7 linked regions of the Solanum lycopersicum genome follow. The protein of the gene in region 5 binds, or shares a complex with, the protein of the main gene of each other region. Links are inferred from orthologs where the notes say so. Each region holds a gene or a part of one and is shown on either strand. Other genes may lie near its edges. The genes, in order: large ribosomal subunit protein uL5c, large ribosomal subunit protein bL31c, large ribosomal subunit protein uL10c, large ribosomal subunit protein bL28c, large ribosomal subunit protein uL15c, large ribosomal subunit protein uL4c and large ribosomal subunit protein uL24c.

Region 1 (3,318 bases), on a different chromosome or scaffold from region 5:
CTGGCTAAATAATAAAGATTAGGTTTATTTAATGAAATGGGCCACTACGACGTTAAATTTTCAAAAAATTATCCAGCCCACAAACCAATTTAGACTTGGGCCTACCTCATTCCAGTCTAATAGACCCCAATATTTTCTTGGTAAAAATTTTTGTTGGGCCAATAAAATTTGATATAGTAAATTTCATATATAACAAATACAAAATTTATATTTGTATGATATAGCAAAGTTTGTATACTTGCGCTCGGTGACAAATATAAATATGCATAATTCCCTATATACATATACAAAGAAAGCAGTTGTATAATTCACTATACATATACAAAAGAAAGCAGTTGTATACAAAAGATAAATTGTATAATCTGCCATTTGTGTATGTATAAAACGAGAAAAAGAGAAAGACAAAAGAAAACTGAGCAGGAGAATATTTGTTTTGTATAATTACAAGTGTATAGGACGAAGATATATGTATTTACATGTGTATATACAATTTTCTCTCGCTTTATACAAACAGAAATGCAATTTATACATTTCGTTTCTGTTTGAATAAGCGAGAGAGGCGAGGGAGATTCGGGAGAGTGGTGAGTGAGATTTGAGATAGGTGAACAAAACTATATGTATCTATACAATTTTCTCTCACTTTATACAAACGCAAACACATTTTATACAATTGTGTTTGTATAAAAAACGAGAGAGGTGAGTGAGACTGTCACAAAACGAGAGTGGCGAGCGAGATTCCACCAGGGAGAGTGGCGGAAATAGCAATAGTTTGCTATAGGGTACAATTAAATCAAAGTATATTTATAACATTTAATTTAAATTAACAGTTTGCTATTATATACAATTTTCCTGATTTGATACGATCTTCATTCAATAATTTTTAGCCCAAAACTTAAGCTAACATTTAACCATAAATTTCATCATATGTTTGGCTTAATTTTTGGAAACATATTTCACTTTTTTTAAGAAATGTATACTAATAAGTTTTAAAAGTTATCAAAACTAACTATAAGTTTGTATTGCATAACAAAATAGAATAAAAAGATTCACTATCGTAACAATTAGTGTCCATGTCACTGAAGCAATATGGTAATTCAGAGATAGTGCAACAAGCATCATTGCATACATTATGAAGTAGACGAAACATATTGTTCGTCACTTTTATCAATAATCATATCGTCATTTTCTTATTTACTGAATATTACATCATTATTTTGATGTTCACGTAAAAAATTTTACTTGAAAAATCTATGGCGAAATGGATCCGAATTTTTTTTACTTAAACATTCACAAATTAAAATTTAGTAGAGAGAACTCTGTTATATCCACAAAGAACATCTTATCCAATTACCCTTTTATTTTTCACACACAGAGAGAAAAAGCTCAGAGAAAATGGCGGCTTCTCCTCTTCTTCTACACTCCACGGCCTCCTCTTTCTACAATGCTGAGTTTCCGGCGTACTCCGTTCGATTGCCGGTCGGAAATACCAAGGTCCGGTCGTCCAATAAATTGACGGTGAAAGCTTCAGCAACAGTACTAGTGGATAAAAGTGAAGCTGAAAAAGTTAATCGTCTGAAAACAAATTACCTCGAAAAGATTGTGCCGTTGTTGAAGGAAGAATTCAGTTACACCAATATTCTTCAGGTAAACTTAGGAGTCGTTTGTCCATTGCATTTTTTTTCCAGAACAGATAAAAATTAGGGCTTGGGAAAGGGAAAATGGGGGAATTGAACAAATTTTTCAGTTTTTAAAAAAGCTTAGTGCAGGTTCAAACACAAATTCAATTTTCAATTATACTTTTCAAGTTAATTTCAATTTCAAAGCATATGTACTTCTTTAGCTTCAAATTTTACAACTTATATCTACAAATTTGAACTGTTTCTTGTTTGTTTGATTAAATGTTGAATTTTAGAGTTGAAATGCTGAGAAATTAGTTTGTTTGACACTATTATCATTTGAGGAGTGAGAAATCACAGTGAATATTAGTTGCATTGACCTATTGCTTCAAACTCTATTATTATTTTTTAGTTTTAATTTGATTTGATACGGAATGTGGAAAAACCGTGTTTTAGGTTCCGAAGGTCGAAAAGATTGTGGTAAATTGTGGTATAGGAGATGCTGCACAAAATTCCAAGGGTTTGGATGCAGCAATGAATGATTTGGCCTTAATTACAGGGCAAAGGCCTGTGAAGACTAGGGCTAAGAATGCTATTGCTACTTTCAAAATTAGAGAAGGTCAACCGCTTGGAATTGCTGTTACACTTCGAGGGAATGTAATGTATTCGTTCCTTGACCGGTTAATTAATTTGGGGCTTCCTCGAACGAGGGACTTTCAAGGCGTAAACCCCAATAGCTTTGATGGTCATGGAAATTATAGCATTGGCTTTCGTGAACAGAGTGTCTTCCCAGAGTTAAGTTATGATGCTCTTGGTAAGCCAAGAGGGATGGATGTTTGCATAACAACAACAGCTGAGACAGATAAAGAGGCACACAGATTGTTGGCTCTCATGGGTATGCCATTTAGAGAAGGTTCTGGTGGACAGACAACTTTTACGAAAAAGAAAAAGCTTAGAGCTCACCATTTTGACTCGAAGGCGAAGCAAAGGTCTAGGAGATGAGGTGGATCCAATCTCCAGGGATAATGAGTTGATTTGTTGTTTTTTAACTGTTTTGTGGTTTATCAGTTGTTTTTGGCGTACAATTTGAATAGAAAAATCTGTAATTGCACTTTTACCATCTGGCTGGTGATGTCTCGAATATATGTTATTTACGTTTTCTTCCTCTAAAAAAAAAAAAATAAGAATTGTTTTTATCTCTAGTTAAGTTTTTACTATTCATGAATCTTGATTACTGTAATTTGTATGTTATTAAATATTTCCTACCCGCTCCCTTTTCTCGTCTGCCATTTACTTTGATTTCAGGCAAAGAGTTTCTCTTGTTAGCTCCACCATATTCACATTTAGGTGAGTTAACATCTCTGCTTTTATCTTTTATCGTATGTGATAAGGAGTATTTGCGGGCGATATCTTATTTACGTTTTCTAAATTTGTCCTAATGCTTAACACTTGATGTGTGTGAGGCTGTGGAGTCCCATACTTATTTCTACTCCCTGATCCCCCACCTTTCTCCTTTCTTCCTCTAAGGTTTATTTATATTCGCATATTAGAAAGTCACAGTTATTTATAGTATATACCATGTTGCTGAATCTTTATTCCCTTGGCTTCATTTTATTCTGCTCAAATTGTACAGAGTTTTTTCTTTCAAAGTGTGTATGAATGTGCTTTTTAGTGGTTTCAGGTTCTATGTCATTTGATTTGG
Region 2 (2,582 bases), on a different chromosome or scaffold from region 5:
AGATGGATATGAGATTATATTGAGTGAAAGTTCATCTGTTTCTGATATTATTATTCAGCAATCTAAAAGGCTTAATAAGATTAGAAAAATGTATGCAAGGTTGAAGAATATAGAGAAGTGGAAGAAAGCAAGGAAATTAAAGGATTAATCATGAGAATTAGAGAGATTTAATTTATGTTAGAGATGAATTAATTTAAGTTAGCAAGAAGTTAGATAATGTTTTTTTTTTTTTTTTTTTGGTAATGTACTGCTCGACATGTTGTATGTCAGAGGAAGTATTCTAGTAGTGATTTATTATGCCTTAAAAAAAACATCGATTGTATCGATGTATCTAGTGTAATTTCATATGATTTTATTTTATGAAATTGAAGAGTTTATTTTTGATAAATTAAGATATTTCAAAGCATATTAAAAAAGAAATATAATAGTAAAGAAATTATTTTTTTTTAAAAAAAAAGATTAATGAATCAATACAACGTGTGGGATAACAAAAATTGAAAGTAGGACAAGATAAATAACTTGGATTTGCTTATGGCGGTAAGCACAACATCACTTCTGTTTATTCAAACACTTTATTCTTATCAAAGATTATAATCGAACTAAGTTATTATCAATCATGCCTGGTTGAATTAATCTTTCAATAATATGTAAAAAAAAAAACAAAAAACTATTTGGTAAACTCTAGATACAAAGGAAAAAGGAGGATATTTGATTTATAAATTGGCCAATTTGTGTTACACGTCTCGGAGAGGAGAGACCGATAGTATTAAATTCAATGGTCAAGAAGTCGTAATTGACACTCTATACATGGTGGGTGATATGAGTATAAATATAAATAATCTACAGATAATATTTTATTAGCATTATTTCTCCAGATGGTTAAGACTTGGAACTTTTAAGTTAGAGGTCTTAAGTTCAAAATCACTTGCCAGCGAAAGTAAATTCTGGGTTGAGCTCATCGCACCGAATTTGCCTAATGCAGATTATTTCTCCTATGTGATTTGCGAACTAACGTATAGGAGCGGGAGTTTTACCATGTGCCCACCCAAAAACAGCGATTACTTAAAAATAAAATAATAAAAATACTTTTGAGATTAGTCAAACCTTTTTTCTACTAGGGTAAATGATATTTTTACAACAAACAAGTTTTTCTTAAAAAAATATGCAATACTTATGCAAGAAATCAAATTAGTAATAACGAATCAATAACTAATCCCAAACAACCCTAACGAGTTTAATCCATTTTTGAAAGAGTATTTACATAAATGGGCCTTACCTACTCCTTGGGCTTCAAGTAATAGCCCAAAAGTAACATCATACAAAACTAGCCCAAGTAGAGCCCAATCAAATATACAGCCCAATATCCTCAGATAAGCAATCTAATCTTCAACCCGTTCCTCTTTTTCTCCATCTCTCATTCTTCTTCTGCAAAAATACCAACAATGGCGCTCACTCTCTCCAACACTTTCCTTCAAAAAAATGTCGCTCCTCCTTCATTCTCCTCCAAGAAGGTAACTCCCCAAAATCTCCATACCCATAACTTTTTTTTTTTTTTTTTAAAAAGTATATGATTGTTGAAAAATTGAATTTTGCAGATGGGAATTGGGAGCAATCAAATGCGATGGAGCTGCAGGAAGAAGGATATACATCCGCAATTCTACGATGACGCTAAGGTATATTGTAATGGAGAGCATGTGATGACAACTGGGGGAACAAAGAATGAGTACACAGTTGATGTTTGGTCAGGTAATCATCCTTTTTATCAAGGTAGTCGTTCACAGCTACTTCTTGATGCTGACCAGGTAGAGAAATTCAGGAAGAAGTTTAGTGGGTTAACACAGATTATGCAAATTCCAACTCTCAAAGGAGAGATTGTGCTTCCTCCTAAGAAGAAGAAACCTACTAAGAAGAAGTAGACTTTATTGTGTGTTTGTAATTCCCTTAGTTCGTTTCGTAAATGGGGAAATTGTTGGAGAATTAGGGGTTTTGTGTATTTTGTGTTTGTATTTTGATGGTTTCAGTTGTGAACTCAGTCTATTATTTGAAAATGGAAGTATAAAAATTCAGTCTTTGTTCTTCAAATTTTTGGATTTGCTGTTGTTGTTATATGGTTCATCAATTAGTTGGGCTGGTAGAGCATTTAAGTTGAATCCAGTGAATTGTCTTGCTTTCGATTGCCATTATTGCTTCGACTATTGGAATGTAATGAGCCTAATAGAGCTGAATGGATACAAAAAAATTGTGTTAACTTAAAACAGTTTGGATCAGGTGTAGTTCATTGATCATAGTTTACGTTCAATAGTTTCAAATGAGTTGTCTTTCACCCCTTTACCTGATAAACTGAACGAAACTTGTCCGTTTTGCACTATCTTGGTGTAATGTTATACCTGTGATTGGAAAGGCTGATTGTTTCAGGGTTTCAGCCGTCCCTTGAATCCTTGACAAAGTAAAGATGAAATAAAGTCTGTTATAGATTTGGTGTCTTGTCTTTTGTATGGTTGCATTAGCCAAGCGTTCTAATGTTAGTTGTACTGGTGCTGTGGTGCACTTCCATTCTTGCAGTTTACTGTGTAAAATGCTTT
Region 3 (2,644 bases), on a different chromosome or scaffold from region 5:
TTATTTTATTTTTTTCTTCAAATCATATTCATGATATTTCTCAAAAAGTAATTATAGATTATTTTTTTTGTTCATTACCGATTATTAATACTTATCTCAAATAAAAATCATAAATCATTGAAAGATTTACTTTTGCTTATTTTATTAATAATTAAACTAAAAATTGAATATACATGTGATTATGCCCCTTAAAACTATGAGACTTACGTCTTGTGTCTCAGGACATACGCCTCACCATATACTATGTAAAAGATTTCACCTCACGCTCTGTCTTTACTATACAGATACAATCTATTCAAATATTATATTTATTAAAATAATATAATATAATATAATTGAAGCAAAGTCTAGGACCTGAGCAGAGAAAATAACAAAAATATCACTTGTGATTTTGATTACATTCAGAAATAATTTTTGAATATTCTTGACTCTTTAAATTTATTTTAAGCCAGCATTTTTAATTGATAAACTTGTAGATACAGATATACATACTTGAAAAAGGATTGACGAGGTGTAGAAGGAATAATATTGAATATGGTGAATTTTAGTAGTAAATAATTTAATTATTATTAATATTTGTATGAGTTATATTTGATAGGAGTATTATTTTATATTTAATATTTGATTTGACGTAAAGAAAATAATCTGTATTACATCAATTTTGAACAAAATTCTTTATTTATATAAGTATCTTTCACAAATATAGTAAAATGATGTTAAAAGAGTTTTGAAGAGCAATAGTGATTTTATTATGCTAATGCATGAATATTTTTTTTTACTAATATCCACATAATTCCATATCTTATATACACCTTAATGCCAAATACATCATATAATATTTGCATTGATTATACTTAATGCGACTCTACTATGAAATTCAAACAAAATTAATAAAATATTTTAATATAGAAGAAAAATTGATATGATTATTATATTATTTTTTTAAAAAAAAATTAATAAAGCATCTGAAAATAATGATAATATATATTTAAAATAACTGATCGAATCATAATTAATATCTTTAAATATAAGATAAAATAATTTTACATTTTATGAAATTATTATCTTTTATATATCATATCAAATCATCTCAAGAATTTTGTTAATAATAATAATAAAAATATATCTAACATAATTTTATAAATTAAAGACGATAAAATATATGTAAATATTACACCTATTTTGCCTTTTTTAACTTCTTTAATGGTTTGTTTGGTATGACATAAATATTTTCAAAAACATAAAGTTTATGAAATACCCCTAAATTCTATCTTAGCACAAAAGATAAGGCAATCCAATTCTCAAGCTATCATCAATGGAGGCTGCTCTCTTCAGCTTACCTTCCTCTTCCTCTCACTCTTACCCATTTTCCGTGAAATCCCACTTCAACAATCCCTTCATAATCCCCCATTCCAGTTCTCACCTCAAACTCAAACCCAGAACTCTAACTATTCGTTCAGCCATTAGCAGAACCAAGAAAGAAGAAACAGTCGAAACAGTGAAGCAACAGCTTGAAGATTGTTATCTCTTAGCTGGAATCAGTTACAAGGGGTTAACAGTTAAGCAATTTCAAGATCTTAGGGCTCAACTCCCAGAAACAACAAAGCTTCTTGTTGCTAAGAACACATTGGTACTTAAAGCAATTGAAGGGACAAAATGGGAAGCATTGAAACCATGTATGAAGGGAATGAATGCTTGGTTATTTGTTCATAGTGAAGAAATCCCAGCTGCTTTGAAACCTTATAGGACTTTTCTAAGGGAGAAGAAATTGGAAGATAATGATTTTACTGGTGGGGTTTTTGAAGGGAAGTTTTATGGGCCTGATGAGTTTAAGGTGCTTGAGAATTTGCCTACAAGAGCTGAGATTTATTCACAGCTTCTTGGGTCTTTGAAAGGACCTGCTTCAGCTGTTGTTGGGACTATTCAAGCTCCAGCAAGGAATTTGGTTATGGTTCTTAAGGCTTATGTAAAGAAATTGGAGGAGGAAGAAGGTGGAAGTCAATAATTTTTGTTGTAATTCTTGGATATGGTAAGCTAATACTATTGTCTATTTGGATCAATATTTGAAATTTTTCTGAGAGATGGAATTTTGTAAATTTTATGTTTTTGGTAGAATGAATTTATCCTTGGCCAATTGTTCTAAATTTGTGTCCTCGTATTTGGCGGATAATTATCTGGATTACTTCATAACTGTTTGAGAGGATTTATGTTATGTGAAATGTACTATTCTGCTCTTTCCATTATCACTGAACCAAGAAAATAGTCTGTATTCCTGCTTCAGCTCACTATATTTGTCAAATATTAAAAGGGCAGCTCGGTGCACTAAGATCTTGCTATTTGCTGAGTTTGGGCTTTGGTAGTAGTCTGGAGGAAGTGTGTAGCTTTATTCTTGCAGTTTCTTGCTATTGTTATATGTTGATCGCACTATATTGTTGACGTTATTGTTTCTTGCATGTATCCTCTGCAGTGCTTTCCTATTACTAGTTCTCATGTTTTCCTTATTGTCGTTTTCCCTTTTTGTTAGTACTTTCATTTACTTCACTTGAACTGAGGGTCTTTTGGAAACAACCTTTGTACCTCCACTAGGTAGAGGTAGGGTTTGCGTACACTCTACCTTCCCCAGACTCCACTTTTTGGGATTTCT
Region 4 (4,094 bases), on a different chromosome or scaffold from region 5:
CTCTACCAGATGACAGTAGTGTCTCTGCTCAAGAGACAATCTTCCAAGAAAATCTCGAGGTTACCCGTACTGGTATGGTTTCAGAAAGGAAAGATGAAAATGCTAATCCCAGTCCACTGGAGCATCTTGAGATAAACAATGACTCACCAGTTAAGGAAGCAATTAAGTCAGAGGAAGACAATGGAAATGTAGACGATAGACCTTCTGAACCAGAATTCTCATCGAAAGAAGAGTTGGATGCTCCAGAGGAACTTGAGAAAAAGGAAGAAATCCCTATTACTGAAGTGTTTGATCCGGGCTGTGTACTTGTGGAGTTTAGAAGAGCAGAAGCTGCATGCACGGCTGCTCATTGTCTACATGGACGACTGTTTGACGACCGAATAGTGACTGTGGAGTATGTTCCCCTTGATCTCTATCAGACAAAGTTTGCTAAACAAAACTAATTTCTTTTGGCCCATTCAAAACCTTATGCAGATCTCCCCAAACTTGAACGACGTTAACATAGGATTTCACAATGCTTAACTGAATGTTTGTTTGCAATTTTTACCATTATTGAGATGCCTTGGTGTTAACCCTTTTGTTAGTGCGAGAGTCGTACCCGATTTGAAGCGGAATACATGTTTTCTCCCAGATGTAGAATGGGATGAAGGAATGAGCCATTGTATTATGTCATCTAAAAATTATGAACTTTGTTTTTAAGTTGCAACAGTTTACCTACTACTTACAATATACAGGAGCACAATCTTATGGCTTCTTGAAATCTTTTATTTACCTTCTTATTATTTTGCCTTAATGTCTTGTGCTTGTAGTTCTAAATGATGTTGGTCACTGACTCAGTTGGACAGTTGATGGGATAACAGATTTTAGGGGTTGTTTGGTTAGAGAGATAAGGACATTCATAACATAGTGTGATTGATTTGAAGATAGTAGAGACGTTCAATATTATAATGATTTGATTTTGGTCTATTTGTTTGGTTTATCATAAGTGGAACCTGAAGAGGGAGAAAACGCTTAATATTATAATGATTTGATTTTGGTATAGGCTTAATAATGATTTGATTTTGGTATAGGCTTAATACTCTCTTTGTTTGGTTTGTGATATTAGACTTCCACGTGAGTAAGTAATGGAAATAAGATTAAAGCATAAACTAAGATAACACAAGTAATGCAAATAAAATTAAAGCATAACTATGATAACATATTACTTCCAAATAAGTTAGATTTTGTTATTTATTTATTCTTTTATTTAAATCGTTTGATATTATTAGACTAAAGGAAAAAATAAGTTAAATATATAATAACAATAAAAAAAAATATGAAGGCCAACAAATAAAATCATTACCCACATCCATTTCGTTATCCACTCTTCACTTCCTTCTTCAAAAAAAAAAGCAACATTCTTGAGACAAAAAAGATTCTTGCTTTGAGGAATTGGTTGCAAAAATGGCGACAATCACAGCGGGTATAAGCCTCAGAGGACCAGTAGTGGGTGGTTACAGGACATTTGCAGTGACCAAAAGGGCTTTACCCAAGGTGAAATTCAGCTCAGAGTTGAGTTTTGTGACTTCTCAATTGAGTGGCATCAAGATTTCAAGCACCCATTTGAGCTCTCCTGCTTCACTTTCTGTTCCTTTCAAGACAGCCCTTCAACCTGTTGCTCGTAATTTCTCTACCCTTTTGTTGTGTTCTCTGTGTTTTTAGTTGTTGGGGTTGTTTCTTTTTTGGTCTAGTAATATGCACATGAACTGTTTGTTGTTTTGTTTGTTTCAGTGAATTGTTGGGTTTTAACAATATTGTGAATTGTGTGTAAGAAATTGTGCTTGTGGGGAGGCAGTAGGTAACCTTAGAATTAGTCGAGGTGTGCGCATACTGGCCATACACCACAATTGTCAAAAGGAAATTGTATCTGATAATTTGAAGTTTAGTTAAGTACTTGTTACTTAGGGTAATGGTTGTTGAAGTATGTGCAAACTGACCCCGACATTACCATTATTTAAAATAAAAAAAGAGTCTTGGTGCAATTGCAAGGTTGCTCCTTTGCTGACCTGAAGGTTACGAGTTCGAGGGGCGGAAATATTAACTTTGTAGACCTATTGATGGTAGAGGTGACATTTCAGCTTTCTGAATTTCAATTAATTGGATCACATGCAAAGGGATACTGTATGGTATACACCTTCGGTCCCTCTACCCATGAAGTAGGGATAGTAAGTTCTTCTTGAACATTGATGGGGAAAAAGGAAAGATGATAACTTTCAAATGTTAATACGATGAATCATCATTTTGGTGCAGGTAGCCTTTTTATTTGTGTGTGTGTGGAGTGGCCGTACTCAAAGGGTCACAGGACCGAAATCATCATGAGTGTTACTCAGATAATTGCTCATTCCATACCTGAGACCCCATTTAGTAGTCGGGTGTCTAGAATTCAGATATGTGCTTTGTGTTGATAGCACATTACGTTAGATTGTTTAGTACCAAGTGAAAGTTAGTATTGCTGATATGGGATGAAAATTATCCCTTACAATGTGGAGGATCTGAAGACATAGCCAAAGTTGGAAAAAGTTTGATTCAGTTGCAATTTGCAAACTAAATATATTGTTTTCTTGAAATCTGTGGTATGGTAAGCTGAGCACTTGACATTAATCACATATTATTAAGTTACATATGATAATCAATGATTAAAAACCATATTATAGTTTACTATCTAAACAACTTCTTATATAACTTCAAGAGGAGAGATTAAAGGGGTGTCATCATTCCAGGGGTTTAAAAGTCTGTCTACAGTCGCAAGAAATAGGGATAGGACAACCTCACCATGTGCAAAATTAACAAACTGGGAAGAGCTTGATGGACTACAGCATATTGATTAAAGGGAGCTGCCGCGTTAACTGCATTAATAACAACAAGATCAATAAAATACGGTATATAGTTTGGAAGTTTGTCCATAGTTGTCTTCATATACTGAATGATCCCTAATTTTTCCTCCTTGGCTCTTTGTTCTCTGACTTAAGGATTGCCGATATTTAAGGCATAACAGATTGTCCAAGTGAAGAATTATAAATTATTTCATGATAAATTTCTTATATAGATGGTATCAACAGTTTTTTGGTTAACAAAGTTTGCATTCCTTTGCTGCAATTCATAGACAAAGCTGCAAAAGAAATACTATATGCATGAGAAGATATTATAATTCTTGTCGAGGCCTTTTAGGTCTCATTAAAAACTGACTGCAGCCTAAAGGGAGCTTCATTTTCTTGCTTTCACCTCTCTTGATAATGAGCAGGATTTCCATCTGCCTATTCTTCTCTCCATGAAACTTGCAGCCTAATAGTGAAATAAAAGCTTTATGAGATTCAAAGCTTATGAAAGTAGATTTCTCGCTATCAAGAATATGTAAATCCATTTACCTCTCAAATTCACCTTCTGCATTTTTTAATATTTATTTACCCACCTGTGTCCTTATTACAAGTGACCAAACTAGTTAAAAAGAAGACGAAACCAATAATGAGAGGCTGAGAGAGTGTGTTAGCTGCAGATTTGGAAGGAAAAATCTACAGAACTTGAATCTTCGGTGTGTTCGCCCCTCTGGTGTACATTATATTTTGAATATGATGATAACAGCTTGGTTTAATTCGTTCTCATTGTATGACAACAAATTGTAAAGGGTTGACTTACCTTTTGTGAAATCCAGTAATGGCAGAGTATTTGGCTTTTAGATCACTGATGAAGCTTTAGTTTACTAATCAGAAAGCACATTATGAGAGTCATTAGGAGCACTATATCACTGACACTCTTGCTTGCTTTGACTCCCTTTCTAAGTTGCTGCATTTGTCAAACTGCATCCTGAATTCCTTTGTTTTTTTAGTCCAAAACTACTTAAAGCCTTTGAGCTAATAGGTAAAATAAAACAAATTAGGGACAAGAGTAATCAAATATTCCCAGTGAAGCATCCTTTGCCTTACATCATCATGATCTTTCCTTTCCCCCCCTGCTTTCCTGCATTTTTGTCGGTTGTGCTCGAATATCTTGGCGCCTCTTTATGATAAGTAGCGTATAGAATATTAAGAGAATACATTCTGTTTTTTCAGGTAGAGTAT
Region 5 (4,074 bases):
TAAAAAGAGATGGAGGTTTGTGTGATTGTCAAATTTGTGTGTATATATATATATATATATATATATATAAAATAGAATACTTATATACATAGATATTTGTATTATAATATTAACACTCGTTGAAAATGGTGATTTACAAATACAAATATATCTGGATACATAAGTAATTTATCCAATTTACAAGATTGATTAGGCAATACAAGTACAATTGGATACATTAATACTATATTTTTATAAATACCTAAGTTAACACCAAGCTTCATGTATTACAGGATCACTTACCAAAAAGAGATTGGCAATTGTTATTTATCAATTTTTTATACAGGCGAATTCTTATATACTTTGATACCGACACATTCTATTATTTTCTATTTTTTTGTTTCTACGTTGTCCAATTTATCCATCTTTGATTTAGTAACACAATGTATTCATATGTATACTATATTGCATTCATTTTTTGAACAACAATAATGTATTCATTTTTCAAATAGCCGTGTTCATATGCTAATTGTCATACTTTAACTTGTTTGATATATATATTGATACATTAAATTCTTACAAAAACTTGTATCATTGATATATATATATATATATATATATATATATATATATATATACACTTTACGTTTTATAAATATAGATACTAATTTGAATTCAAAGTATTCATATACTAACTGTACACAATTAATACATTTTCCTTATTTAGTTTGTTGTAATTAAACTTGTATTACTGTATAAATAGAAAAATAATAATATTTAAAGAATTAATACAGCTAGAAAAAGATATAAATTGTATTCATTTTTTATAAATAACATACTTGTAGCTATTGAACTTTGATAAATCCTATAAATGTAGTCATTTTTATAATTTGCTGATTAATGAATGTATACAGAAATTTGGGCGGAGTAAGACAGGATTAAGGAGATTCTTTTAAATTTTCTTAAGCAGAACATTATAAGAGTAATCCTCATCGGAGTATAGCATGACGAAAGAGGAAGAAAAGAAAGATTACTATCTAAAAAAGAAGTTGACGAATTACTAATAACCCTCGTATAGAATTTATCAATGACTAAGTAATCAAACATGTTAGTAATTAATATGACTTGTAGCGAGCGTTTAGATCTCTCTTTCTTAATCATATGTTTCAAATTCAATCCCATAAATGAAAAAAATCAGTTAGGAAAGTCCCCTCTAAAAATGTGCCCAGTCGTGTGTGAATTCAAATTTTATTTAAGCCTATTACTAATATCAAACATCATGTTGGAAGCAAAAAAGACCACGATCCTCAAAATGAAGTGTAATACACACATATCGAATTAAATATCGAACACCTGATAATAGACTCGTAAACTAATTTAAAAAGTAGAAAAGAAAGTCCCTGAAATAACCACCCCTATCCGTTAAAATTTGTCAAAACACTTTTTGCTTGGACAGTGAACACAATCCTGAGTTCTCCCTTATCAACAATGGCGTCTCTACTCTCCATCTCCTCTGCATCACCTACAAGAACAAATTCAATCATTACCCAGTTTTCTTCATCATTCAAGGTACAATTTCTCCTCTTTAATTTTTCAATTTCTGTCAAAATTATACAATTCTCATTTATCCCCATCAATTTTTTTCAGGGTAATGTAAGTAATTTGAAGTCAAGTTCGAAGCTTTTGCCTTTAATAAAGGTCTGCAATTTGAAATCTAAGTCAATAACAAGAACCCCATTTGTTGTTTTCAACCAAACTGCAAGTTTTGGTGCTGATTCTGCAACTGGGAGTGTTCGTTTTCGGCTTAATAACTTGGGTCCTCAACCTGGGGCTACCAAGAATAGGAAGAGGAAAGGTAGAGGGCATTCAGCTGGACAAGGGGGTAGTTGTGGTTTTGGTATGAGAGGTCAAAAATCAAGGTCTGGACCTGGAGTTAGAAAGGGGTTTGAAGGGGGTCAAATGCCTCTCTATAGGAGACTTCCTAAGTTGAGAGGAATTGCTGGAGGTAATTTGTTAACATTGCTTCAACATAATTATATTATCACAGGGGTCGTTTGGTACAAGGGATAAGAGATAATAATCTCGGGATAAAATGTTGGATTGCCTTTGGTTAGGGGTATTAGTTAGTCCCTGAATATCTATCTTGTCATTTTTATAAGATAATGATAGGATAAGTTATCTCATATATATATGGCGGGATAACTAATTCCTCGGGATATACTAATCAATGGGATAACTTTGTCTATCTCATCCCTAGTACCAAATGACCCCTTAGTTTGAGTTGGATTTTGTTTTTCCTTGTTTTGTTGTTTGTTTCTGTGTCCATCTGCAGTGTTATAGTTTACCATTTAAAAGTCTATGGATAAGTGTTATAAAATTTATAGCTTTAACTTGACTATGTGTTCTTTTTTATATTTGTGTTCGGGGCACCTTGCATGCAGTAGTGTTGTCAAAGCTGTGCATAAGCGAGGTTCAAAATGTGTTGAGCGCTTTGTCTTGCTTAATGTGCTCTTCAGGGTCGTCATCAAGTTTCTTAGGCATTCTTTTGAGTCTCTTTAGGCAACACTAAACAATTGATATTTCACTTAATAGTAAAAAAAATAATTTCTTTGTTCATATATTTGTCATTCATGCTTACAATTATTATTCTTAGACTAAACAAACATATGTATTTGTATTTCTCCCTTTGCTCCTTTTTATATTAAAGATCATGCTTTATTCACGTTTTATGCTTAGTCCCAATGGTCCTCAGAGTTTTTTTGATTTGATAACACTGTCATGTACTTAATTCCACGGGTACCTGCTTCTTCCTGCCAACACTTGTGTTGGATATTCCTTTGCTACTTCATTCCTCAACTAATGGAATACAAACTCTTTTTTCTGCCCTGCCTGGTGTCATCCATCTCCAAATAGTAAATGCGCTGCTGAGCGGATAACTCTATCCAGAAAGGCTTGGATAAATGAATATTGAACAGGAGACATTATGGTTCTCAACCAACTCCATTAACAACTACGCCACTCACTTGGGTGCACTGTGTGTATCTTTGTTTACAAGCATGTTTGTTTTTCTTTTGGTTGTGTCATTGCAGAGGCAGATTTTCATAGGATGATAAAAAGTCTTATCTGCATCTGGTGGACATATGTGTATGCATACTCAAACTGTACTGATGATTAATCTAAAGAAATTTATTACAAATGATCAATATATTGCACTAAGAAATAAAGCTATGCATAGTTATATGACATCAAGGCAAATATCTTGAAATTCTTATTTTCTTATTTGCAATATTCTGAAATCCTCAACATTTTTATCTTCCTCTATAATCCGAAGACTGTTACCCCCTTATTTAAACTAAAAGGAAAGCCTTGATCGATATGAGAGAAATGTGCTCAAGCATCCAACCAGGTGTAACGTCTGTCAAGAAGTTTCTTACTGCAAAATGAACATTCTAGGAGCTCTCACTCGAACAAATGCTCCTTATGCCATCATAAACCGAATCAGCGGATATAAAATCTGTCCTTTCCTAACCTTCCCCTAGCAGGAAACTTATTTTAAAAGGAGGAGGATTTGGAAAGTTCATACTAAGGAGGTAAAAAGGCCCTCGAGTCAAAGGGCTATTCTTCCTTTGATTTGAAGAGAATGTCAGTGCCTTGACTCTCTAGTCTCAGTGTGGCTCTTGAGTAGTCTTCACTTTCCCTTATGCATGGCGTTTGATTAAGTATTTTCTTCAATGTCAAGTTGTTGGTATTACTAAGATGATTCATAACTGTCCTTTATTTTTGGCGTAACTTGTATCCATTCGCATTATATAATGCTGAACCTTGATACTCACACCTAGAGTTGTGTGTCAAAAAATAAGTTCTTACTTTTCTTAGGCCTTTCATACTGATTAGGCCTTGCCATGTCTAATTTTTATAACTTTGACTATTTTAGGCTATTCTAACTTAATAACTGAAGTAATTGATAGTGCTCTTTGTAAAACCTCCAATCTCGTCTTTTAATTTGTTTCATTATGTGTTTTGTTGATTTAGTTAAGGATTTCCCTCAAGTCAGGCTAATCTGTCAAAAGCAATTATCTACTACATGTTTACCAC
Region 6 (3,414 bases), on a different chromosome or scaffold from region 5:
AAAGTAGAGAATTCAACTAATTTGTCTTGTGATGATCTTGGTGAACTTGAATATTGTTGGATTGATTCAGACATGGATTCTTCAACTCCTAGTGATGATGATGATATGAATATTTGGTTCAAGGATTGTTACTATGATCAAAATGGAGTTGAAGATTTCACTAACTTTGTTGGTGCATGTAGGGAGTTTTCTTGGGAAGAATCTTGTGAATCTATGCTTTATGCGCCTGATGTCTGATATTCATATTGGAGCTCAACTAATCTGGATTCACATTAGTACTGAGGGATTCATTGTTTCCTCGTAAAGGTGACTTTGTACTTTGAAAGATTCAAATCTGAAATCTCTAATTAAGGATGAAGGAGTACTTATAGATAGTCATTGAGATAGGAGTATTGATTAAGACGTTTTTCATGGCAATTGTAAATCCCATATTAGTATAAATTCTTTTTACTAAAGACCTATGAACTTTCTGTTGCTTTTAATTCAATGTGGAATAAGCATAGCTTACCTAATTTTAGGATGTAAGCTGCAGAACCTATTTTTATGGTACATTTGAAATTATTAGTTCAAAATTTAATTGAGTTTGTTAAGTTTCAACATAAGTGGAACGAGGAGAAATTGATTTCTTTATATACTCTTGAACAATCATATCTCCTCGATTTATCTTTTGAATTGAGTTAAATCTAATATGGTATTGAAGTTACGTCCATCTCACTTCATTATCATTTAATATTAGGTCTCCATTTTATATTGCTTACATTCATGATATCTGACCATGAACGTGCAAAGGAGCGTTGAGTCTTAAATTGATTGATAAGCATAAATAATCTTGAACAATTATTTCCTCTTGAGCTAGCTACGATGTTACAGTTAGATTAGATTCAAGGTTTGTTTTCTTAACCGAATTCAACATACGAGTTGGGCTTAGCGTATCATGGAAAAATTGGAAAGGGAAGGCAATATGTAGCAGGCTGCATCAATAGCGCCTCAAAATAAAAGAAAATGAAGGTTTTGGGCTTATGATGGTGTAGCCCCAACTAACAAAAGACTTGATCAAGAAAATTGTATAACTTTTATATTATATCAAAATTAATAAAAATAAAGAGCACATTTCATAAAAATTTTATTTGTCGCTTACGCTCTAAAAAATTTATTTTTTTTCCTACACAAAAGAAGATTTAATTATGTTCTTAAAGTATTGTAAATTAAATAGACATGCCCTTCAACTCTTCGTCAATAGTTTGGCTTATATATGACCTTATCATTTTGAATGTGTTATTAGTCTAAATGAAACATTTGATTAACCTCATTTGTTGATTCATAAGTGAAAAAATTATCAAATATACTCTGACAACGATAAGCATAGAAAGAATAGAATATTTGTAGACCTTATCACTATCTCGTAAAGCTAGAGAGTCTGTTACGTCGTAAAGTTGAAGAGTTCATTGGCGCAAAAGGATCGGTCCTTCACTTGCTGATCGTTCGCAAGTCGAACTCGCTCTCTTGCCACGCCTTTCACTCACTCGCTTGAGACGGACTCAATCACTCTTTGAGTTTGGAGGATTCACTCTCTTGTTATTACCCGCAGGGAGCGCATGTTTCCGCAAATATGTCCCTAAATTTATCAAATATGTGCTCAATTTCAAATACTTTGAGGGTATATATGACTTTTCCATTTTCACTAAATTTATTTGAACAAAGAATATGAATACATTTTGATATCCTTCTTCCTCATTTGTGGATAACCCAATCCATAGGCTTGCAGTTTGCTCCTTCACTGCAAAAATGGCTACTTCTTCTTCTTTATCTTTCTTTTCTTCCACCATTTTCTTCTCTAACTCCAACACCCTTCACTCCTCAAAGCAGCAGCAGCAGAAACAACTCATTTTCAAACCCAAACAACAACAATTCTCCATCCGTTCAGAGGCCGCCGCCGCCACTATTCCAATTCTGTCCTTTGATGGTACCGAAGTGGGCTCCACCACTCTCAACTTAAAATCCGCCCCTCTTGATACCGCACGCGCCGTCGTTCATCGTGGGCTTACCACTGACCTGCGCAACCAACGTCGCGGTACTGCTTCCACCCTTACCCGAGCCCAAGTACGGGGTGGTGGTATCAAACCATACCCACAAAAGAAAACGGGTCGAGCTCGACGTGGGTCGAACCGAACTCCTTTACGACCAGGTGGTGGGGTTGTGTTTGGGCCGAAACCTAAGGATTGGTCAGTTAAGATTAACAAAAAGGAAAAGAGACTCGCGATTTCTACTGCGCTTTCGAGTGCTACACAGAATGCCATTGTTGTGGAAGAGTTTGATGATAAGTTTGAGAAACCGAAGACTAAGGAGTTCATTGATTTGATGAGAAGATGGGGATTGGACCCAAAAGAGAAATCTTTGTTTTTGATGACGGAAGTTTCAGACAATGTGATTCTCTCCAGCAGAAACATTAGCACATTGAAGATGTTGACACCCAGAACTTTGAATCTTTTCGACATATTGGATTCTGAGAAGCTGGTTTTCACTAAATCAGCTGTGGAGTTCTTGAATGAACGATACGGAAATGATGATGATGATGATGATGACTGGGAGGTGGTGGACGAGGAAGAAGAAGATGGTTAGTTTTTGCTTCATTTTGGGTATGAAGTTTCCTTTCAATTTTAGCTAACTCGTTAATTTGCTGCATTCAGGTGGCGAGGTGGAGGAGAGTGCTGAAAGTTCTGAGTAATATATGAACATGGGGCGAAAAGGGTCTGTTCCATTTTAGAGGAGGCTTTACCTTACAGGGAGCTTAGTATATTTCACTTTGAATTGTATTTTATTGTATGATAAAACTAGGTGATTTTGGTTGATTTCATGTCACTGACTGCATTTGTCCATTACCTTCGTTGGAATAGTTTACTCTTGATTTTCGTTCCGCTCTCATTACCACTTTGAGTTCTTGATTTTTATGATAAGAGTGATTAGTTACTTTACTAATTAAGTCTTGTGTTCTGGCAAAACTACATTAATTGCTTAGTAGATGAAGCTTTATATAAGATTTATGGGTTACAAGTTGTCAGCCAGGCGAGATTCAGCAAAGTAAAATGATTAGGAAAGCTTTGTGTTTGAGTCTTAGGCTTGAAGCAATTAAGCAAAGTTAAGAAAAGGAAACCTTTATTTGGGTGGAAAAAGCTTCATCACCTTTTTCTTTAATACAAACACAAAGTAATTGGCAGGAAAAAATGCTCTTTACTTTGTTTTGAGTCATTGGGGGCATATGGGATGCTAAGCATTATTAACCTTGAAACAGACCATATCTAGTAGACTATCTATGGAGGCAGATAACTTGGACATTTGTACTATCAAAATATGTGATGGAGAGTATATGAGTATCTCTAGGCTTTTACTAGAACTTTTGAGTTTAAGCGCTAATTG
Region 7 (3,995 bases), on a different chromosome or scaffold from region 5:
TGAATCGTGCTGCCAAGAAACGGCCTTCCATGAGGGACACTGTGCAGGTTCTGTCAAGGATACTCAAGTCTAGACACGAAAGAAAACGCCAGAAGCGATCTTTATCTGCAACAGCAGAGGAGATTACCATCAATGTTGAACAAGTAGATCATCGGAATCCAATCTCTGGACATCGACGTGTTGAATCTATAGATAGCACAGCTGACTCGTATGAAGTTTAACTCAGTTCTTCCATTTGTTTATTTTTTTGTTTCATCTTGTAAAATTGGTCAGGTTGTTAGGTTTCTTATTTACAAAAACACACTTTTGTCTTGGTGAGTTCGTTTGGGATACTTAGGGGTATGTTATAGTCTGAGTGTATGATAGCCTTTGTTCCCAATTTTGTTCTAAGTTTTTGTAAATTTGCGTGGAAGGTTAATGAATGGTAGAAAACGGGGAAAATCCCAGATCAGGCTTTTCCACTTCTTCTACATTAGTATCCTATTCAATCTAATTTTATTAAAAAAGAACCAAGCTTTTTTTATTTTTTAATCCCCCGATACTTTTTTTCAATATATTTATTTGTTCAATTCGTCTTTTATATGTTTTGTCAACCTATAAAACATTAAAACTTGATCATTTTTCCCTTCTTAAATTAGGGCAAATTGATACTTTACAAATTTATAATTACAAAAAATCTTCAAAACGGATACAATAATACAAGCGTTGATACATTAATCTAATGCGCGAGATGCAATAATTTAATGTATGAGATACACTAATCTGATGCGTGAGGTACATTTTATATATGATACACTAATCTGATGCGCGAGGTACATTTTATACATGATACACTAATCTGATGCGCGAGGTACATGATACACTAATCTGATGCGCGAGATATACTAATCTGGTGCGCGAGGTACATTTTATACATGATACACTATATGATGCTCGAGATACATTAATCTAATGTGCGAGATACATTTTTATACATGATACACTAATCTGATGCGCGGGATACAATAATATGATTCGCGATAGAAATTGATGTGATGCATGAAAATTGTGAAATTTTAGAAATTTGTAAAACTTATAAGGGATAATGATAATAATTAAACTAAAAGGTGAGATTTTCGTAATTAATCCACAATCCCGAAATAGCTGAAAAGGGACTTTATAATTGGGCCGTACTCGACCCGTTGAAGGTCCAATTAAGTTGGATCGGGTGTCCAGGGATAGAGAGAGAAGAAGACGAAGGTTCTGGTTTTTATTATCCTATCCAAATACTCAGCTCAGTGTTGTTTCTTCCTTCAACAAAAGGATTTTGCAGAAGGTTTTGAACAATGGCGGCTCTGCAGAGCTCCTTTACTGGTCTCTCCATCTCCTCCACCTCCTTCTTCGGCCAACGCTTCTCTCCTCCTCTCTCCCTTCCTCTGGTATGCTTTCTCATAACTTCAACTATCTGGTTTTCAAACTGAACTATCTCAAATGTTAATTGTTTTGTTTCTACAACTGTATCATTCGGTCCAGCTTGCTCACAACTCGACTAATTACGTAGAATACCTGCTACCTCTAGCCAGAATTGAATTGTGTTGCAAGTAACTTTCTCCATCCAGTCTTACATAAATGCGAAGAAATAAACTAGTGTATTGTGATTTGAACCAATAAATCGTAGTTGTTCACCACTGCATTGACCACTAGGCTATATCCTATCTGTTTATCTCAATTTCAATTGTCTTTGTGAAAGGTCTTTGTTTGAATAATTTGATTTCTATGTATTAGGGATCATAGGAACAAAGGTATCCATTTCCATTGTACTATTGATTATAAATTAATTTTATATTATTTGATTACAATATATTGTGAACTTTTTCTCTGCTTGGTCACCATTGCTACCTGAGTCCTTTCTCATATCATATGTTTTTTCGCTATTATAAGTTTTGACTGCGTGTTTGGTACGAAGGAAAATGTTTACCTAGAAAACAAATGTGGAACTTACTAATTTTCTAGTGTTTATATGGTAACTAAGCTAGATAATATTATTCCAAGAGCATTTATATGTTATATATCCAACAAAATACTATGGAGGCGAGATGGGATGGGGAGTGGGGATTCGGGGATGGACGGACGTGATATGGTCAAGAAGTGGGAGTTGGAGGGATTGGGTGATGATAACTTGAAATGCTACTTATCCATCTTGTTTTTCTTACTTCCACTACGGAAGTCATTTTCTTTATTTTGAACTTGAACTTGTTTTCCTAAAGAAAATATTTTCGTAACACAGGAAAGTTGGAACTACATACCAAACACAGTGTATTTCTAGCTGCAAGAGAATAATTTTATATATAAAGACATCTACAATTTGATACAGTAGTTCCTCAAAAGTTCTTCAAAAAGTCAAGTATATTAAGAATATGCTAATTGGTTAACTTAAACTTACCCCCTCTGTTGTGATTGATGTCTTCCAAGTTCTAACATAGGATGAACCCTGTATTTGACTTAAGGTTCGAAATTTTAATATTTGGACATATTTATCAATTTTTTAATACATATATAGGGTCTGAGTTAAAGCTACTGGGTGCTGCTGAACCCATATTATACATATGCCTCTGTGTTCCTCGATAATAAATCGTTCTCATATTATAGTTACCTGTATAATCAGAAGTTATTGGAAGCAAATATGGAATAAGATCTGTCTCCAGAAAATGCACTTGCTTGTTATTCGGTTAACACTTTTTGGATGTATATCACGCCTTACGCAGTTTGTCACTTTTTATTGTGTCAACTGTAAAACTGGATAATCTTTTGCCACTTTAATGACAATCTCCATATAATGCCGTGCAGGTTAAATCAGCAGAAGGTCCATGTTTGATTACAGCAAAGGTTGGTATCTTGATCCATTTTGGTCCTTTAGTATATTGTCCGAGATAGACATTTCCGGCAACTACTTTTATAGGGTTGCTGTTAATGTGGTCATGCATTTCTTTTATAACTTATGATGTAATGAAGGAAGTGCTCGAACTAACTTGTCAACAGCTTTTAAAAATGGCCACCAAATGTTTGTATTGCTAAACCTTTGGTACTAATTTTTATGGGTATGATATTCTTTTAGCTGAAACAACAGTTAATGAGAATTGTGATTAGAATTAGCTTTATCATTGAATAAGAGCTTCTTTTTATGTCTATTTTGCAGCTTAAGCGATGGGAGCGTAAAGAATGTAAGCCAAACAGCCTTCCAGTACTACACAAAATGCATGTAAGGCTGGGTGATACTGTAAAGGTAATCTCCGGCCATGACAAAGGTAAAATTGGAGAGATTACCGAGATCATCAAGCACAACAGCAAAATAGTAGTAAAAGAGGTGAACTTGAAAACCAAGCATGTGAAGAGTCGGAGTGAGGAGGAACCAGGCCAGATAGTCAAGGTTTTATCTCGATTTCTTTCTTCTCTATCTTGCCTAAAAATTGTTATCTTGAGATTTCATTTCGTCGTGGCTAGCATCGAATTCATCTTTGCCCTAACAAGAAAGTAAAACTTTGTGTTAAGATTTTAGATTGAACTTCCCCAAGTTGTTTGGATTGAGACGTAGTTGTTGTTATTGTTTCAGATTGAAGCTCCTATTCACAGCTCAAACGTGATGCTTTATTCAAAAGAGCAGAAGGTAGCCAGTCGGGTTGGTCACAAAACTTTAGACAATGGAAAAAGAGTCCGGTACCTCATTAAAACTGGGGAAATCATCGATAGTGCAGAGAACTGGAAGAAAGCAGTCAAAGAGAAGGGGAAAACAACAGAAGCAGTAGCTGCTGCTTCCTAGGAGATCCACTGGTCTGTAAATTCTAGTTCGATTTTGCTAATTTTGAATCTTCTCTCATTGATATATTATGATTCTGTTGTCACCTTCACCTTTTTAACTCAGTAACATAAGATTTTATATTAAAGTACATTTACTCAAAAATTCTGTTTGCCAGTACTATTACGTACTAGAGTTTGATGGTTAATGGGTCGAATACAAT

Evidence for each region.
Region 1: large ribosomal subunit protein uL15c (region 5) and large ribosomal subunit protein uL5c share a complex: the UniProt entries of both Arabidopsis thaliana proteins name them as parts of the 50S ribosomal subunit. The link is inferred for Solanum lycopersicum from reciprocal best matches to the Arabidopsis thaliana genes RPL15 and AT4G01310.
Region 2: large ribosomal subunit protein uL15c (region 5) and large ribosomal subunit protein bL31c share a complex: the UniProt entries of both Arabidopsis thaliana proteins name them as parts of the 50S ribosomal subunit. The link is inferred for Solanum lycopersicum from reciprocal best matches to the Arabidopsis thaliana genes RPL15 and emb2184.
Region 3: large ribosomal subunit protein uL15c (region 5) and large ribosomal subunit protein uL10c share a complex: the UniProt entries of both Arabidopsis thaliana proteins name them as parts of the 50S ribosomal subunit. The link is inferred for Solanum lycopersicum from reciprocal best matches to the Arabidopsis thaliana genes RPL15 and EMB3136.
Region 4: large ribosomal subunit protein uL15c (region 5) and large ribosomal subunit protein bL28c share a complex: the UniProt entries of both Arabidopsis thaliana proteins name them as parts of the 50S ribosomal subunit. The link is inferred for Solanum lycopersicum from reciprocal best matches to the Arabidopsis thaliana genes RPL15 and PRPL28.
Region 6: large ribosomal subunit protein uL15c (region 5) and large ribosomal subunit protein uL4c share a complex: the UniProt entries of both Arabidopsis thaliana proteins name them as parts of the 50S ribosomal subunit. The link is inferred for Solanum lycopersicum from reciprocal best matches to the Arabidopsis thaliana genes RPL15 and RPL4.
Region 7: large ribosomal subunit protein uL15c (region 5) and large ribosomal subunit protein uL24c share a complex: the UniProt entries of both Arabidopsis thaliana proteins name them as parts of the 50S ribosomal subunit. The link is inferred for Solanum lycopersicum from reciprocal best matches to the Arabidopsis thaliana genes RPL15 and RPL24.

Annotation. Positions count from the first base shown.
Region 1 is NC_090808.1:1,642,870-1,646,187, forward strand, and holds large ribosomal subunit protein uL5c, read left to right. Parts: upstream 1-1,223; 5' UTR 1,224-1,392; coding exon 1,393-1,644; intron 1,645-2,072; coding exon 2,073-2,618; 3' UTR 2,619-2,818; downstream 2,819-3,318. UniProt on the Arabidopsis thaliana protein: Binds 5S rRNA, forms part of the central protuberance of the 50S subunit.
Region 2 is NC_090803.1:66,609,362-66,611,943, forward strand, and holds large ribosomal subunit protein bL31c, read left to right. Parts: upstream 1-1,292; 5' UTR 1,293-1,442; coding exon 1,443-1,511; intron 1,512-1,595; coding exon 1,596-1,916; 3' UTR 1,917-2,082; downstream 2,083-2,582. Other genes in the region: mannan endo-1,4-beta-mannosidase 7-like, read left to right, coding at 1-148. UniProt on the Arabidopsis thaliana protein: Binds the 23S rRNA.
Region 3 is NC_090803.1:3,526,186-3,528,829, forward strand, and holds large ribosomal subunit protein uL10c, read left to right. Parts: upstream 1-1,211; 5' UTR 1,212-1,315; coding exon 1,316-2,005; 3' UTR 2,006-2,144; downstream 2,145-2,644. UniProt on the Arabidopsis thaliana protein: This protein binds directly to 23S ribosomal RNA.
Region 4 is NC_090808.1:67,409,465-67,413,558, reverse strand, and holds the start of large ribosomal subunit protein bL28c, read left to right. Parts: upstream 1-1,294; 5' UTR 1,295-1,443; coding exon 1,444-1,660; intron 1,661-4,085; coding exon 4,086-4,094. Other genes in the region: uncharacterized protein, read left to right, coding at 1-443.
Region 5 is NC_090804.1:3,795,317-3,799,390, reverse strand, and holds the start of large ribosomal subunit protein uL15c, read left to right. Parts: upstream 1-1,274; 5' UTR 1,275-1,467; coding exon 1,468-1,548; intron 1,549-1,626; coding exon 1,627-1,984; intron 1,985-4,074.
Region 6 is NC_090806.1:67,227,853-67,231,266, forward strand, and holds large ribosomal subunit protein uL4c, read left to right. Parts: upstream 1-1,294; 5' UTR 1,295-1,785; coding exon 1,786-2,614; intron 2,615-2,687; coding exon 2,688-2,725; 3' UTR 2,726-2,914; downstream 2,915-3,414. UniProt on the Arabidopsis thaliana protein: This protein binds directly and specifically to 23S rRNA. May play a role in plastid transcriptional regulation.
Region 7 is NC_090806.1:68,736,520-68,740,514, forward strand, and holds large ribosomal subunit protein uL24c, read left to right. Parts: upstream 1-1,195; 5' UTR 1,196-1,325; coding exon 1,326-1,418; intron 1,419-2,826; coding exon 2,827-2,865; intron 2,866-3,175; coding exon 3,176-3,406; intron 3,407-3,589; coding exon 3,590-3,796; 3' UTR 3,797-3,937; downstream 3,938-3,995. Other genes in the region: calcium/calmodulin-regulated receptor-like kinase, read left to right, coding at 1-221. UniProt on the Arabidopsis thaliana protein: One of two assembly initiator proteins, it binds directly to the 5'-end of the 23S rRNA, where it nucleates assembly of the 50S subunit. Required for optimal plastid performance in terms of photosynthesis and growth.